4 separate regions of the Mus musculus genome follow, and regions 1, 2 and 3 are each reported to be linked to region 4. Evidence: microRNA targets listed by miRTarBase, many of them from high-throughput screens and not tested one by one. Region 4 holds a microRNA gene; each other region holds the end of a gene's coding sequence.
What was found. Region 4 holds the annotated microRNA mmu-miR-26a-5p (UUCAAGUAAUCCAGGAUAGGCU, at 798-819, opposite strand). A microRNA usually pairs through its seed, bases 2 to 8, with sites in the 3' UTR of a target mRNA and lowers its output. Matches are read on the target gene's strand: a 7mer-m8 pairs with bases 2 to 8, a 7mer-A1 pairs with bases 2 to 7 and ends in A, and an 8mer does both.

Region 1: the mRNA of Gnb4 is a reported target of mmu-miR-26a-5p. Seed matches in the 3' UTR shown: 7mer-A1 at 736-742.
Region 2: miRTarBase lists Smad4 as a target of mmu-miR-26a-5p. Seed matches in the 3' UTR shown: 7mer-m8 at 1,671-1,677.
Region 3: miRTarBase lists Plbd2 as a target of mmu-miR-26a-5p. Seed matches in the 3' UTR shown: 7mer-A1 at 1,481-1,487.

The regions. Positions count from the first base shown.
Region 1 is chr3:32,582,516-32,585,593 of GRCm38, reverse strand. Gnb4 (guanine nucleotide binding protein (G protein), beta 4) reads left to right here. Exons shown (of 10, transcript NM_013531.5): 10 at 368-3,078. The coding sequence ends at 474. Among named protein-coding and RNA genes, the nearest start is that of Gnb4, 33 kb to the left of the region's middle.
Region 2 is chr18:73,637,604-73,640,667 of GRCm38, forward strand. It overlaps Smad4 (SMAD family member 4), which reads right to left. Exons shown (of 12, transcript NM_008540.3): 12 at 1-2,866. The coding sequence ends at 2,655. Among named protein-coding and RNA genes, the nearest start is that of Smad4, 65 kb to the right of the region's middle.
Region 3 is chr5:120,483,184-120,486,261 of GRCm38, reverse strand. It overlaps Plbd2 (phospholipase B domain containing 2), which reads left to right. Exons shown (of 12, transcript NM_023625.4): 11 at 60-222; 12 at 424-2,369. The coding sequence ends at 591. Sds (serine dehydratase) reads right to left here. Exons shown (of 8, transcript NM_145565.1): 7 at 3,074-3,078; 8 at 2,357-2,689. The coding sequence ends at 2,484. Among named protein-coding and RNA genes, the nearest start is that of Sds, 8.2 kb to the right of the region's middle.
Region 4 is chr10:126,993,284-126,996,361 of GRCm38, reverse strand. It overlaps Mir26a-2 (microRNA 26a-2), which reads right to left and starts at 832; the gene lies at 749-832. Ctdsp2 (CTD (carboxy-terminal domain, RNA polymerase II, polypeptide A) small phosphatase 2) reads right to left here. Exons shown (of 8, transcript NM_001113470.1): 5 at 2,454-2,510; 6 at 415-507; 7 at 151-336; 8 at 1.

The DNA of each region.
Region 1 (3,078 bases), not on the chromosome of region 4:
TAGATAGAGAAGTTACTAAACACCAGGTGCCACCCCTGCTCTTGTAGGCAGAAATAGGAAGATGGGGATTTGAAGATGATTTCTGGCCGGGTAGCGAGGTCAAGATCAGCCTGGACTATGTGAGACCCTGTCTTCGATTTTTTTTTTAACACTGACTTTTAAAATTTTGAAAACACAAACAGATGTTCACAAATGATGTAAAAAATTCCAATAGCTTGTGGTGTGTTGTGTCCATATGCTGGACTTGGCTCTAGCACTAGTCTTCCCAGAATGACTGCTTTTTTGATCACCATCTGCATCATAATGCAGAACTATTTTTGCAGTTCTAAAACTTCAGTTTTAACTCTCTATTGATCTTTCTTTGTAGGTGTCCTTGCTGGTCATGACAACCGTGTTAGCTGCTTAGGTGTGACTGATGACGGCATGGCTGTGGCCACTGGCTCCTGGGACAGTTTTCTTAGAATCTGGAATTGAGTGCCATATTTTCTGTTCTCCAATGATACCTGGAGAAATCCGTGTTACAGCCTATAGCTGTGAGGAAAAAAAAAAACCAACCCTCTACCTTCTATTTGCAGATGAAGTTTTTCTATGGAGGTGACTATATATAAAAAGCAGCGTTCAATAAGCTGTAGTTTATTGAAACTGTTGTGACATAAATGGTGGTCAGAGAAACAATCAAGATTAAGCTCCCTTTCTGTGGTCAAAGGCCAGGGTATTCATTGAGTGGTCGTCTTGACTTGAACAGATTCTTGCTTGTGCTCATTGTTTTTCTGTAGATTAGAGTGCACACTTTATAGCAGACAACCATTTGTGTTTGCCATTTTAAGGACTACCATTGAACTTTGTATATATAAGAAATGCCACATTTTTAAAGTGTTGTCATGGAAAACAAGGAAGGGCCTGTGATAGACAGAAGTGATGCTGTAGATTATGTGCTGTCTGAAGGAGGTCCCCTTGGACTGTGACATTGCATTTTAATCTGAAAGTCCCTGACTGCTTCGTGGTTAGGTGACTAAGAGGTGAGGTGGTCCTGAGGGACCCAGTGGCTGTTCATGCATTCTTTGCCATGCTACGGATTTAAGTGCTCATTTTCAGTCCTTTGAGGGGACAGGTGATATGAAGGCCAGGGGTAAAGATTTCACTTTGACATAGGGTACACCCTGAAGAAATGTCATTACAGTCTATTACATTAGAAACCAGTAGACACTGGCACGTGATTTTTTTTGGTATTTTAAGAAGCTCAGCCATTTGAACCATTGGACCTTGCTGTTAATTTTGCCTTCTGAAATGAAGTTTGTAGAAAGTACTAGTATTTGAGAAGTCTGACAAAAACCTGACTTGTCTCTGCATCTGGAGACACTTGCCTGGTGTTCTCTGTAATGGGAGGAAACAGTGTCTCACCTTCTAACATTTGAGAAATGTAAACTCATCCATTCAACTGGCACAAATATATGTATGATTTATATGTCACACATACATATGTGTGTGTGTGTGTATATATATACACACATATACACATATATATGATGGCTTTGTGAATTGTGTAATGTAAAATCTATGTAATGTAAAAACAGGTATAAACTATTTGTACCCTTGAACTTTTACTTTTCCATTTTTGCGGTGCTGCCGAAATCTAGGCCTTGTGCCCACTAGCCAAGTGCTGTACTTAGTACAGCCCTAGCTCCTCAGATCCAAGCTTTCTGCTGCCCTGTAGTATTGTTCTCCGTAGTATGATGTAGTCAAGGAGCTTACTACAAAGCTAGTCTAGAGTTGACCACTCCTAGAGCCTAAAACATTGTTTCAAAGGGGCTCAGCTGGCAGCAAAGATGTGCCAACTGTTCAGTAGTGTCTGTCACTGGGATGTCCCGCCTCCTAACGGAACAGACAGCTCTCCTCTTCAGTTCTCTCCTGTAGATTCAAATGATTGACAGTAACAGACTGTTATGTCTTGCTGGTGCCGTCTCCTTGGGTTACTTGGATGTATACAAACACATTGTAAAGCTGCTGTCTAGCAGTTTCTGTGTTAAAGTTGATCACCTGTAACTGTAACCTTAATACTTCCAAACTGAACCTGTGAGTTTTCATCCTTGTACTGTGAATGTGCCCATGTACATAACAGCTGTGATCAGACCAGCATCCCTTTTGTTTATGAAAATCAATTGATCTTAATACAGTGGGAAGACCCTTCGCCCACACAGCTCTAGGGTCCGACCTGACCAGGGCAGAAAGGGAATGAAAAACAGACACACACAGGAAAGCTGGGGTTGGGTAGACTGGACATTGATGGAGAAACCAGCACCCAGAAACTCAGAGTTTATTCCATGGAGAAGCACAAAGAGGCAGTGCTGTTGTATACAGATAAAAAAGGAGGAAACATCCGAGGTATACTGCTGGATCAAGGAGACAGGTTTAGCCAATCTCTTCAAGAGCAGTCCCCATATGTAGGGAAGCAATCCTCAGGCTGTAAATATCAGGATGGGGCTCAGGGAGCTAAGGTACACATGTTCTACACATACCATCAACACTCATGCTCAACCCAGGGGGACTCTGCCATTCTCGTGGGTCTAAGGTAAGGGTCCGTGATAGGGCAGTCACTCTGGATGTCCTCTGCTCCCTACAGGATAGAGGTGAACTGAGATACAGTATCGAAGAGAAACAGACCATCGTGGCAGGTGTGAATGTGTACCTTAATCCTTAATTTGCGGGACCCCTTTGCCCTTGTCTATTGTGCACTAGGGAGTGCTCTCAAATAGGGCACGAAAAGAAAACCTGACGGTGCTGAATGAAGTCTAGCCTTCCTTGTACCTCTGCCCAGAAAGTTCTATCGCTGGGTTGTATCTGCTGCCTGCCCACCCCAGCCAAGAGCTGAGGCGCATGAGAGGATCCTGAGCATCCCCAGAAGGGTGTGTCTGCTGTGTGGCTCAGAATTCATACTAAAACCTCGCTCAAAACTAAGGAAAAAAAAACCATAACAAAAAACCTCGCTCAAAACAGCATTTCTATTAGGTATAAAGGGGGCTTAATGTGGGGTAGAGTGCTTGCAACGCAAGGCCCTGGGTTCAGTCCCTAGCTCTGTGT
Region 2 (3,064 bases), not on the chromosome of region 4:
CTTTGAAATACACACAGTTAAGCATGGTTGTTGCTGGATTCTGCAGGTGTGCGCCTCGGCCGGCTCACCCTGTCTGTGAACTTATACTGTGAACAGGAGCAATGGGTTCAGGCAGTATAAAAAGACTGTCTATGGAAAAGCAAGTTCCCGGCAGTGGCTTAGCATCTATCTGTACAGCAGGGGCGGTAAAGGACAACGATTAAGGTAGACTCTATCCCAGAAAAGAATCTACTTCCAAGCAAATAAAGGCAATACCATTACAGATTCTCTTTAATCATGCAAAGAAAGGCACAAGACAAAAGTAGAATGGTTTCAAACTGGGTGCCCACTGAAATTTAATCTTGGGAGACTTTTGAGCTATGACTTAGAAAAAAAACCCACCCAGAACCATACCCACATCATAATCAGTCTCTAAGAACTAGGGAAACTATTTTATCCCAAAATTTTTCAACTCAGGGAAGTTTTTAAAAGTCTTATTCAAAGATAGCGAAGTGAAAGGAAAAAAGACTAGGACAGGCAAATTACAAATTTCATCAATAACCAGAAATCATTTCTATGGCTCTTAGTAAGAAAACCAAGACAAGTGGCTTGGCTCTGAAGAGATACTTCCCAGCAAATATTTCCCACCTACTTTCTGAAGATGATTAAATATGGGAAAGGTTCCATAAGGTACAACAGGAAGCATCAAGTTACAGCACTGCCTGGTCAGATGAGCTGGGTCTTAAAAACCCGTTACACTACAGCTTACTCTCTCTTCTCACTCCTGTTCCCCGGCCATCGTGAAACGGATCTGAAGACAAGCATTTCTAGAGAAGGTATCTTTTTATAATTCTGTCAATACAACATTTAAAAAAAAAAAATCACCAAACTTCTACAGATAAGATTAGGCCCGAGACAAAGCATCCCTAAGTACAGAAGACAAGACACAGAGGCAGCTTTTACAACGCACGCTGTGTGCGCTGGGCTGAGATGGACCCCAGTCACTGCAGCACTCTGGTTTCTCAGAGCCTCTGGAACCTTCCGCAGCAGGCTGCAGGACGTGGTCATTTCTGTTGGCACAAAGAGAACTGCTATGCACGGGGTTTCCAGAGCTCAAATGCCTACTGCAATTTAAAACTCACAGAAAACTCTCAGGGTAAAAACATCTCCATGGTCTTGATTTTATTCACACTATTTATCCAAGTTTTTTTTTTTTTTTTTGCTACAGTAAAATAAAAACTCAAAAAATAACCAACTACACATGATGCACAGTGTCCATGGGAAAGTCCTGGTAGAGTGGGAGGGAACCAGCGCTGCATGGTACAACTGGCTGCCACCTGTCATTTAGCAGAAGGTGTCTTGCCACTGAGACTGGACTCAAAAGTGCAAAAGGAAAGCATTTTAAAAACCAAATCTAGAATTCCACTTCGTATAGTGACTCAGTTTTATTTACGCTAGTAACTAGGTAGAAAGTATACATGTGTGTCTGTGGTACAGTCAATGTGTCTTAACTCCTCCACTTCAATCTCTACAAAGTCACCGCCAAGTGATCAAGGATGGCAAACACAGGGCTTATAACCAAAAGGTATAAAAAAGTCTGCAGTCTTGCCCTAAGATACAAAAACTGAATTTTAAACAATGTCAAAACATACATGATTTTAACAGTATATGAAAAGAAGTCACACATCAAATCAAGTACAAAAATATCCAAACCACCTGTTACCAACTGCACTGTTTCCATTATTCTGCACAGTATTTAACATAGAATTTAGCAGTTTCCAAAATATTCATTATTTCAGTTGAAGTACTGCCACCTTGCAGAACAGTGAAGCAGCAGGCAGAGTGACACTGCTTTTAGTGTTTTATACAAAACCTTCTCCCTAGGAATTAAGGGAAAAATCCCTCCCCTAGGCTTTTTTTTTTTTTTTTAAATAACTAACCTTGTGCCTAGAAATATAGAAGAATTCATTTACTGTTTAACAGGGCAAAGTATACATCTTGATAGTGGTCATCCATTAGGGATTAAAAAAATTGTAATTTTAAATGGCATTTCTTTGACTGATAATTGTAAGGAATTGTCAATATGCACACAGATTAGTGTTTTGTCTTGGGGAAGAAACCCTGAAGTCTGCAAGACAGTATGAATTTAATTCACCTTCACTGTTTAACTTGCAAAAACCATTGTGAATCAAAGGTTGCTAAAAGGTTTTTAAAGGAGAGTAAAGTTGCTCTTGGTAGAGCTGGCTGGCCCAGCGCCACGTGAGCACAGTGCGTTTAATAACTCGCCCACTAAGGGGCAGGTGGCTTAACTGTGAGAACTTCTCAGCCTTACAATCAGCAGCTCTGACTCTCCTCGGCATGCAAGGCGCTCGCACACACTAAAGGGCTGAGCGCCCAGCACTGGCCGACTCCTCCATACAGAACCAGCAGGGAAGACTCAGCAAGAACTGCATCTTTCTGATCTTCAAGCACTGAGCCACACCTGAAAGTTCTAAAATAGAAAAGAAGTTTTAATTCAGTTTCTGTCTGCTAAGAGCAAGGCAGCAAACACATCTCTCAACCCTTTAGGAAAAGACAGAGCAGAACAAAATGCAATAGATCTTCAGATTATAAACACGAGTATATTTCATAGTCCACCATCCTGGAAATGGTTAGGGCGTCCGTGGTGTGAGATCTCAGTCTAAAGGCTGTGGGTCCGCAATGGGCATGGTGTGCAGGACTTCATCCAAGAGCTGCAGAGCTCGGTGAAGGTGAATCTCAATCCAGCACGGGGTTTCCTTGATGCTCTGCCTGGGGTAGTCTGGGCCCCAGCCCTTCACAAAGCTCATCCTGAGAATGCACAATCGCCGGAGGTCATCCACACCGATGCCAGCAGCAGCAGACAGACCTAACGGAAAGAAGCACAAGTGTGGAGGCTGTGAGGGCGCAGGTCCTCTCTTCCCATCCTCCCCAGTCTGCCTTCTTTGCTTATTTCCTCTCAGCATACAACTTCTCTGTCAAAAATGTCAACAGTAACCGCAGATCTAAACCTTATCACGGGTAAGTGAAAATTTGGTTATGACAGTTTATATATGGACTTTAACTA
Region 3 (3,078 bases), not on the chromosome of region 4:
GAGGCTAGAGGAGCTTGGCCTCTCCCTGGGGTGACTGCCATCCCTTCCTTCCCATCCAGGTACAATGATTTCCTCCATGACCCTCTGTCATTGTGTGAAGCCTGCAACCCAAAGCCTAATGCGGAGAATGCCATCTCTGCCCGCTCTGACCTCAACCCCGCCAATGGCTCCTACCCATTTCAGGCCCTGCATCAGCGCGCCCATGGTGGCATTGATGTGAAGGTCGGCCACCTAAGCCAGTTGTCACATGCCCCGGGGAAGGATGGATGGGACAGGTGCAGGGTCAGAGGTCAGACCTGGGCTGAAGCTGGGTCAGTTTAAGGGGATATCACTTTGGGGTCAGCTTCAGAATGGTGTTTTGAAGAAAAGTCGTGGTGAGAGTTGGGCCCTACCAGCTGAGTGTGTGCTCTCTGACCCCCCCAGGTGACCAGCTTTACCCTGGCCAAGTACATGAGCATGCTGGCGGCCAGTGGCCCCACGTGGGACCAGTGTCCTCCGTTCCAGTGGAGCAAATCGCCATTCCACAGCATGCTGCACATGGGCCAGCCCGACCTCTGGATGTTCTCACCCATCAGGGTGCCATGGGACTGAGAGAGAGTCCGCCTCCGCCTAGCTGCCTTCATTTTGTGTGGCCAGTGGGTCATACACCTGCCGTCCACCCCTCGGGCTTCTGTCTTCACTAGACTCTGGTCCTAGCGGCTTCCTTCGCAAGGACACAACCCAGTGGGCTCAGAGTTGCCTCTGTCTCTGAGCCCTCTGCCCCTTCATGGCTCATCCTCCCTGTCCCTGTCACCAGCAGGCTGGGGCTTATGCTTGGCTGTGGGCCTGGTGGGATCCGGGGCACACATTCTCCTAGTGCTGGTCCCTCAGCATATGTGTGAACTGACAGGGGACATTATGGTTGTCACTGCTGGCCTGTGGGCCCATCGCCTCAGGAGGCAGCCCTGTGCCCTTCTGGGCAGCTCTTCTAAGTGCAGGAGCTTGAGAACAAAACCAAAGTTTCTGGCTGCTTGTAGCTGGAGGGCCTTGAGTCTTCTTTCAGCAGGAGGAATGGACCGTCACCCCACACTTCTACCCCTACTCCCAGCCAAGCCTGCCCCTGGCCTCCTGGTAGGTGTCTCTGGCTGTGTGCTCCGGTCAGCGAAGCCCAGGCTGTGCTTCTGTTAAACAAGCCTTGTGGGGCGGCACCACACCCTGTCTGTCCATGGCTGTCTCCTTCCATCTGTCCTTTCTCTAGTCCACGTACCTACTGTTCACCTGCATCACCAGCCCCCTGCCCGTCCATCCCCTCTCCTGTCCACCCTACCGTCTTTTCACTCAGTCAGCGGTCCACACACCTACCCGTCCACTTGCCTGCCTTTTCATCTGAACGTCCTCACCTCTCACCCACCCATCCACCTGCCCGTCCGTCAGTCTGTCCACCCAGAACTGCACATCCCTTTTCATTTTGGTTTTGCTCTGTAACTCAGTGTGGCCTTGAACTTGAATGCCTTGTAGTCCACAGTCATCCTCTGGTTATTGTATCTGCTGGCCGCCTTCACCCTCACATGCTGGGTTTCCATGTACAGGCCGCCGTGCCTTGATTCTGCTTTTCATCAGCCCACTCATCTCTCTGTCCATTTATCCCTGTTAGTCCTTCTGCTCAGCATCTGTCTCAAGTGCTGTATTCTGGGTCCTAGCCTGGCCCAACCTGCTGACCACTAAGACCCTAAATCCTAGACCCAGAGACCCACATGAAACCAAGTCCCCTGTGTGGGGCCCAGAGAGCTCACAGCCTGTGAACCAGAGGCCCTAAGATGTGTGGGTAGCTTTACCCGAGCCAGTCCGGGCCTGCCATGTGTTCTGAGTTTCGTTGGTAGTCAGGGGTTGGTTTCCTGTCAGGTTCACTCCACCTTCCCTGCTCTGCAGATGCCTGCACGGGGTTGGTTTTCCAGACACCAGGGTGGGGCCGCTGGTGTCTCAGGATGGCCTTGTCCTGTCCCTAAGGACTTCATATTAGCATGTGGTGGCCTTGCCTGTGCATCTCCCAGCTGCTTTGCGACCCCACCCTAGATCCCTGTGTGGCTTAGCTCTGGTCCTCTCTCCTGACTTACGGATGTGTGGGTTCCACCAGTCAATCCACTGGGAGACCCAAGACCCCAGAGGGGAGCACCACTTCTCTGAGAGCCAGGGACGATGTGGCTGGGTGTAGAGGGAGACTGAACAAGGCAAGGAAGCTAACGCCTGTCTGCCCGGCACTCAGAAGATGAGGCAGGAGGATCTCCAGTTTGAGACCAGCCTGGGCTGCACATAGACCCTCATGTCAAGAACAAACAAAGCTCAAAAGATCTTTGCTCTATAAATATATATTTATTTTTTATTTACAATGGAAAAGTGCACATTATAAACACAGGTAAAGGAGGGTGGGGCCATTGTCAAGTGTATCCCACCCCACTAGGGGGTGCCGGTGACCCCTCTGAGGGAGGCCAGGGCAGCAGCAGATATCACTCGGGCAGCCCGTTCAGGCCCAGCTGCACCTTGAGTGCCTGCAGCTGCGCCAGGCTTATGTTGCTGCCGCCACACACGATGACAACCAGCGAGGCCAGTGGGGTTTGCAGCCGGCCTTCATCCTGCAGCCTGCACACCACGCGGCTGTACACAGCAGCCAGCGCCGCGCCGCACGCGGGCTCCACCAGAATCTTCTCATCGTCTACGGGGGGAGGGGGAGGCGGCTGGTAAGCTCTCAACATCTCCCTATGGCTGGAACTGCTTGTTCCTACAGCCTGTGCTAAGGGCACTCAGGCACCTGAGAAGGTCACTCCTGTGTGGCAGCAAGCTGAGATGATTAACAGCAGTGCGTGTTCTTACTCTTGTTCTCTTTGGCTATCTTCAAGGCTGGCCCCAGAGAGTTCTGCTAAAGATCATCTCCAAGTCCAGCTCATCTTGGTCCTCTCCCCTTTGATCCCAGCTACTGCTATCATGATTACCAGACTCACATTTTTGTGAGTGGCTTTTGCATTTACCAGGGACTGGCATGAGAGTCTAGGCTGAGGAGGGAGAAAGTCAAGGGGCAAAAAGATTCCACAGAACGTACCCACG
Region 4 (3,078 bases):
CCTGGGGCAGGAAAAAGTGACATTATCTGATATTTCCTTTCCTTTCCAGTGCCATTGGAGGCTGCTGGGCCACACAGGGGTTGTGGACTCCTCTGATAAAGCCCACGGGCCCAGCCTGCAGCCACCCCAGTCCCTGATGCGAGCACTCACTGCATTTTCTGGGTGGAAGATGTAAGATGCAGGGGAGTTGTCCAGGATGACAGTTTTCCTCAGGTCCCTTCCCAGGCGGCTGAGGTCCTTGACATAGCAGCCCTGGTGGAACACACAAGCCTCTCGGAACAGGCGGGCCCGGAACACCCCGCACCGGTCCAGGAGATCAGTCACAGGGTCAGCATACTGGAAAAGAAGGAGAAGCTTTAGCCTAGGCTGAGGGCTGGCTCTCCCCTGCCTTCTGCCCCTCCTGCAGTCAGGTACCTTGGCCAAGCTGGCAGTGAAGAGAACACATTCGAAGAGCTCCCCCATCCGTCTCAGGAACTCATCGACGTAAGGCCTCTTGAGCACATATACCTGGGAGACAGAGTGGATTGCTGTAGGAACCCCACAAGGCCAAGGACACAGCACCGGCTCTGCCTGTGCACTGACAGAAAAGCAAGCAGGCCTAGATACCCAGGTCGAGACACTGAGACCTCTGCCCCACCATGGACAGCTCTACCATGTTACCAGGCTTCTGCTGCCTCAACAGGCCCAACCCTAACCCGGCAGGAAGGAATGCACTCCCAGGAGCCATCTTCATTGAGGGCAGACCATGCGCTGCCTCCAGAAACAAGTAATCAAGAACAGGCCTCATGGACGGACACAGCCTATCCTGGATTACTTGAATCCAGCCGCAGCCTCCACAGTAGCCTTCTGTACGGGATTCCAGCAGGACGGCTTGTGTAGGTCCCATCTGGCAAGAACCACAAACTTCTTCAAACACACACCCTCGTAGGTTTGTGTGCACACCACCAGCTTCGAGGACTTGCTCGCTTTTAAAGGTTCTTCAACTAACTCGCCACCCAGTCTATGATCTGCTGCTTCTTCTTTCTTTCTTACTTCAGCCTGCACAAGTGTTCCTTAGGCCCACTCACTCACTTCCTTAAAGCAGCACAGGGGGTGTGCCCACCCCAGTCCCTCCTAGCCCACATCAGCACCAACTGAGCAGAGCCCTCCCATTTAGCAGCAGAACCCTCCATGCAGCTGCAAATGGATCTATCCATCACCTTCCACTTCTTAAGCCTCACAAACAAGCCCCTTCCTCACCAAGCATTGCTCTCCTCCCAGGCTCTCCTCAGATCCACATGGCAGGCAGCCCTCTCACTCAGGCCCCTTCTGCCCATGCCAGAGCCCCATACATTCTGTACATTTCTATTTCCTCAACTAGACAGCAGGGGGTGATGGGTGGAGTAAAGAGCCACAGCTTCGAGGCTCTGTACAGAAGTTCGTAAAGGGGCAGAGGGCTACGATGACAAACCCAGGACAGTCTCAAGCTGAACTTTCTCAGTCTGAAAACAGGTCTCATGCTTGCTAGGATGTCTGCATCACTGTCTCCGGCCCTCCCCTGGGCCGACCAGCATGCCTCTGGGCACATGGTCTCTCACCAATGCCTCGTGGTCCTTAACCCTAGGCAGCAGGGTGTACACGGCAGAGCCTGGACTCTGCCACTCTGACAGATGCATATGGAGCACTTACAGAAACCAGTGTAGAGGTCAGAAAGGTGTCATAGGAGGGGCCTGGGCCAGGGAAGACACATTCAGTAGCTCTTCACCAGAGGGCACAGGAGCAAATCCTAACAGCCCTGCACACAGAGCAAGGCTCGCCTGGTCTAAGCATGGACTGCATGGGCTGGACAGCATATGCTCTTCATTGAGGAGCTGGGTTCAATTCCCAGCAACCCCTGGCAGCTCACAACTGTAACTCTGGTTCCAGGGGATTCGACACCCTCACACAGACACACACGCAGGCAAAACCAGTAATGCACATTTAAAAAGCCACAGTGATGGCTAGGACTATGATGTGAAAATGCCAGGGGCTGCACACAATGGTGAAGGCCTTTAATTAACTCCAGCCCTCTGTGAGGTCCAAGTCAGCTAGAATTAAATAAAGAGACCCTATCCTGGGCTGGAGAGATGGCTCAGTGGTTAAGAGCATTGACTGCTCTTCTGAGGTCCTGAGTTCAAATCCCAGCAACCACATGGTGGCTCACAACCATCTCTAATGGAATCCAATGCCCTCTTCTGGTGTGTCTGAATACAGTTAAGTGTACTCATATACATAAAACAAATAATTCTTTAAAAATATTTTTAAAAAAGCCAACAGTTCTTGCAAACAGCCTGACTACATAGAGACAGGAGTGTTGGCTAGAGGGAAGTGTGGATGATCTGGAGACAAGCCATCAACAAACATGGAAGCTGATGATAAACAGGTTGAGAGGCAGTTTCCCTTTGAGGCAGGGTGTATGCTGGCAAACAGCTCACCTGGTGCGTGGTCCCCTCAATCTCTACAGGCACTATGAAGTCAGCATTGTTGATCGGCTAGAAGGCAGAAGTGCACAGTGTCAGCAGACAGGAAACCCTACCCCCTGGAGACAGCCCACTGAGCAGTTCTTAGCCAGCACAGGGCAAAAAGTATCACATATTTTCCGGTTTCCCTTCTCCTTCATCCACCCATCCATCCTACCCACCAAATTCTACCTGAGGTAAGTTTCAGGGCTTTTGAGATGGGGTCTTGCTACATAGTCTGGGCTAGCCTTCACCTCCTGCTCTCATGAGCTATGCACACAGGCATGCATGCCTGGCTCTTTGGGCTAGCCGTGTTCATCTCCTGTTTCCGTGAGCTATGCACACAAGCATGCATGCCTGGCTCTTTCAAGACTGACTGGCTCTTACTGGGTAACTCATGTTATTCTGGAACTTGTGATTTCCCTGCCTCAGTTTCCCAAGCACAGGGATTGTGGAAGTTCCCTCTGCACCCAACTTAAGGCTTTCTTGAGTTAACAAACGCACCAGTCAGGAAAACCAGATAATGCTTACCTACTTTTTCCACGGTAAGTCGAGACAGACACAGCATTTAGGGTGGGGTGTGTGTGTGTGTGTGTGTGTG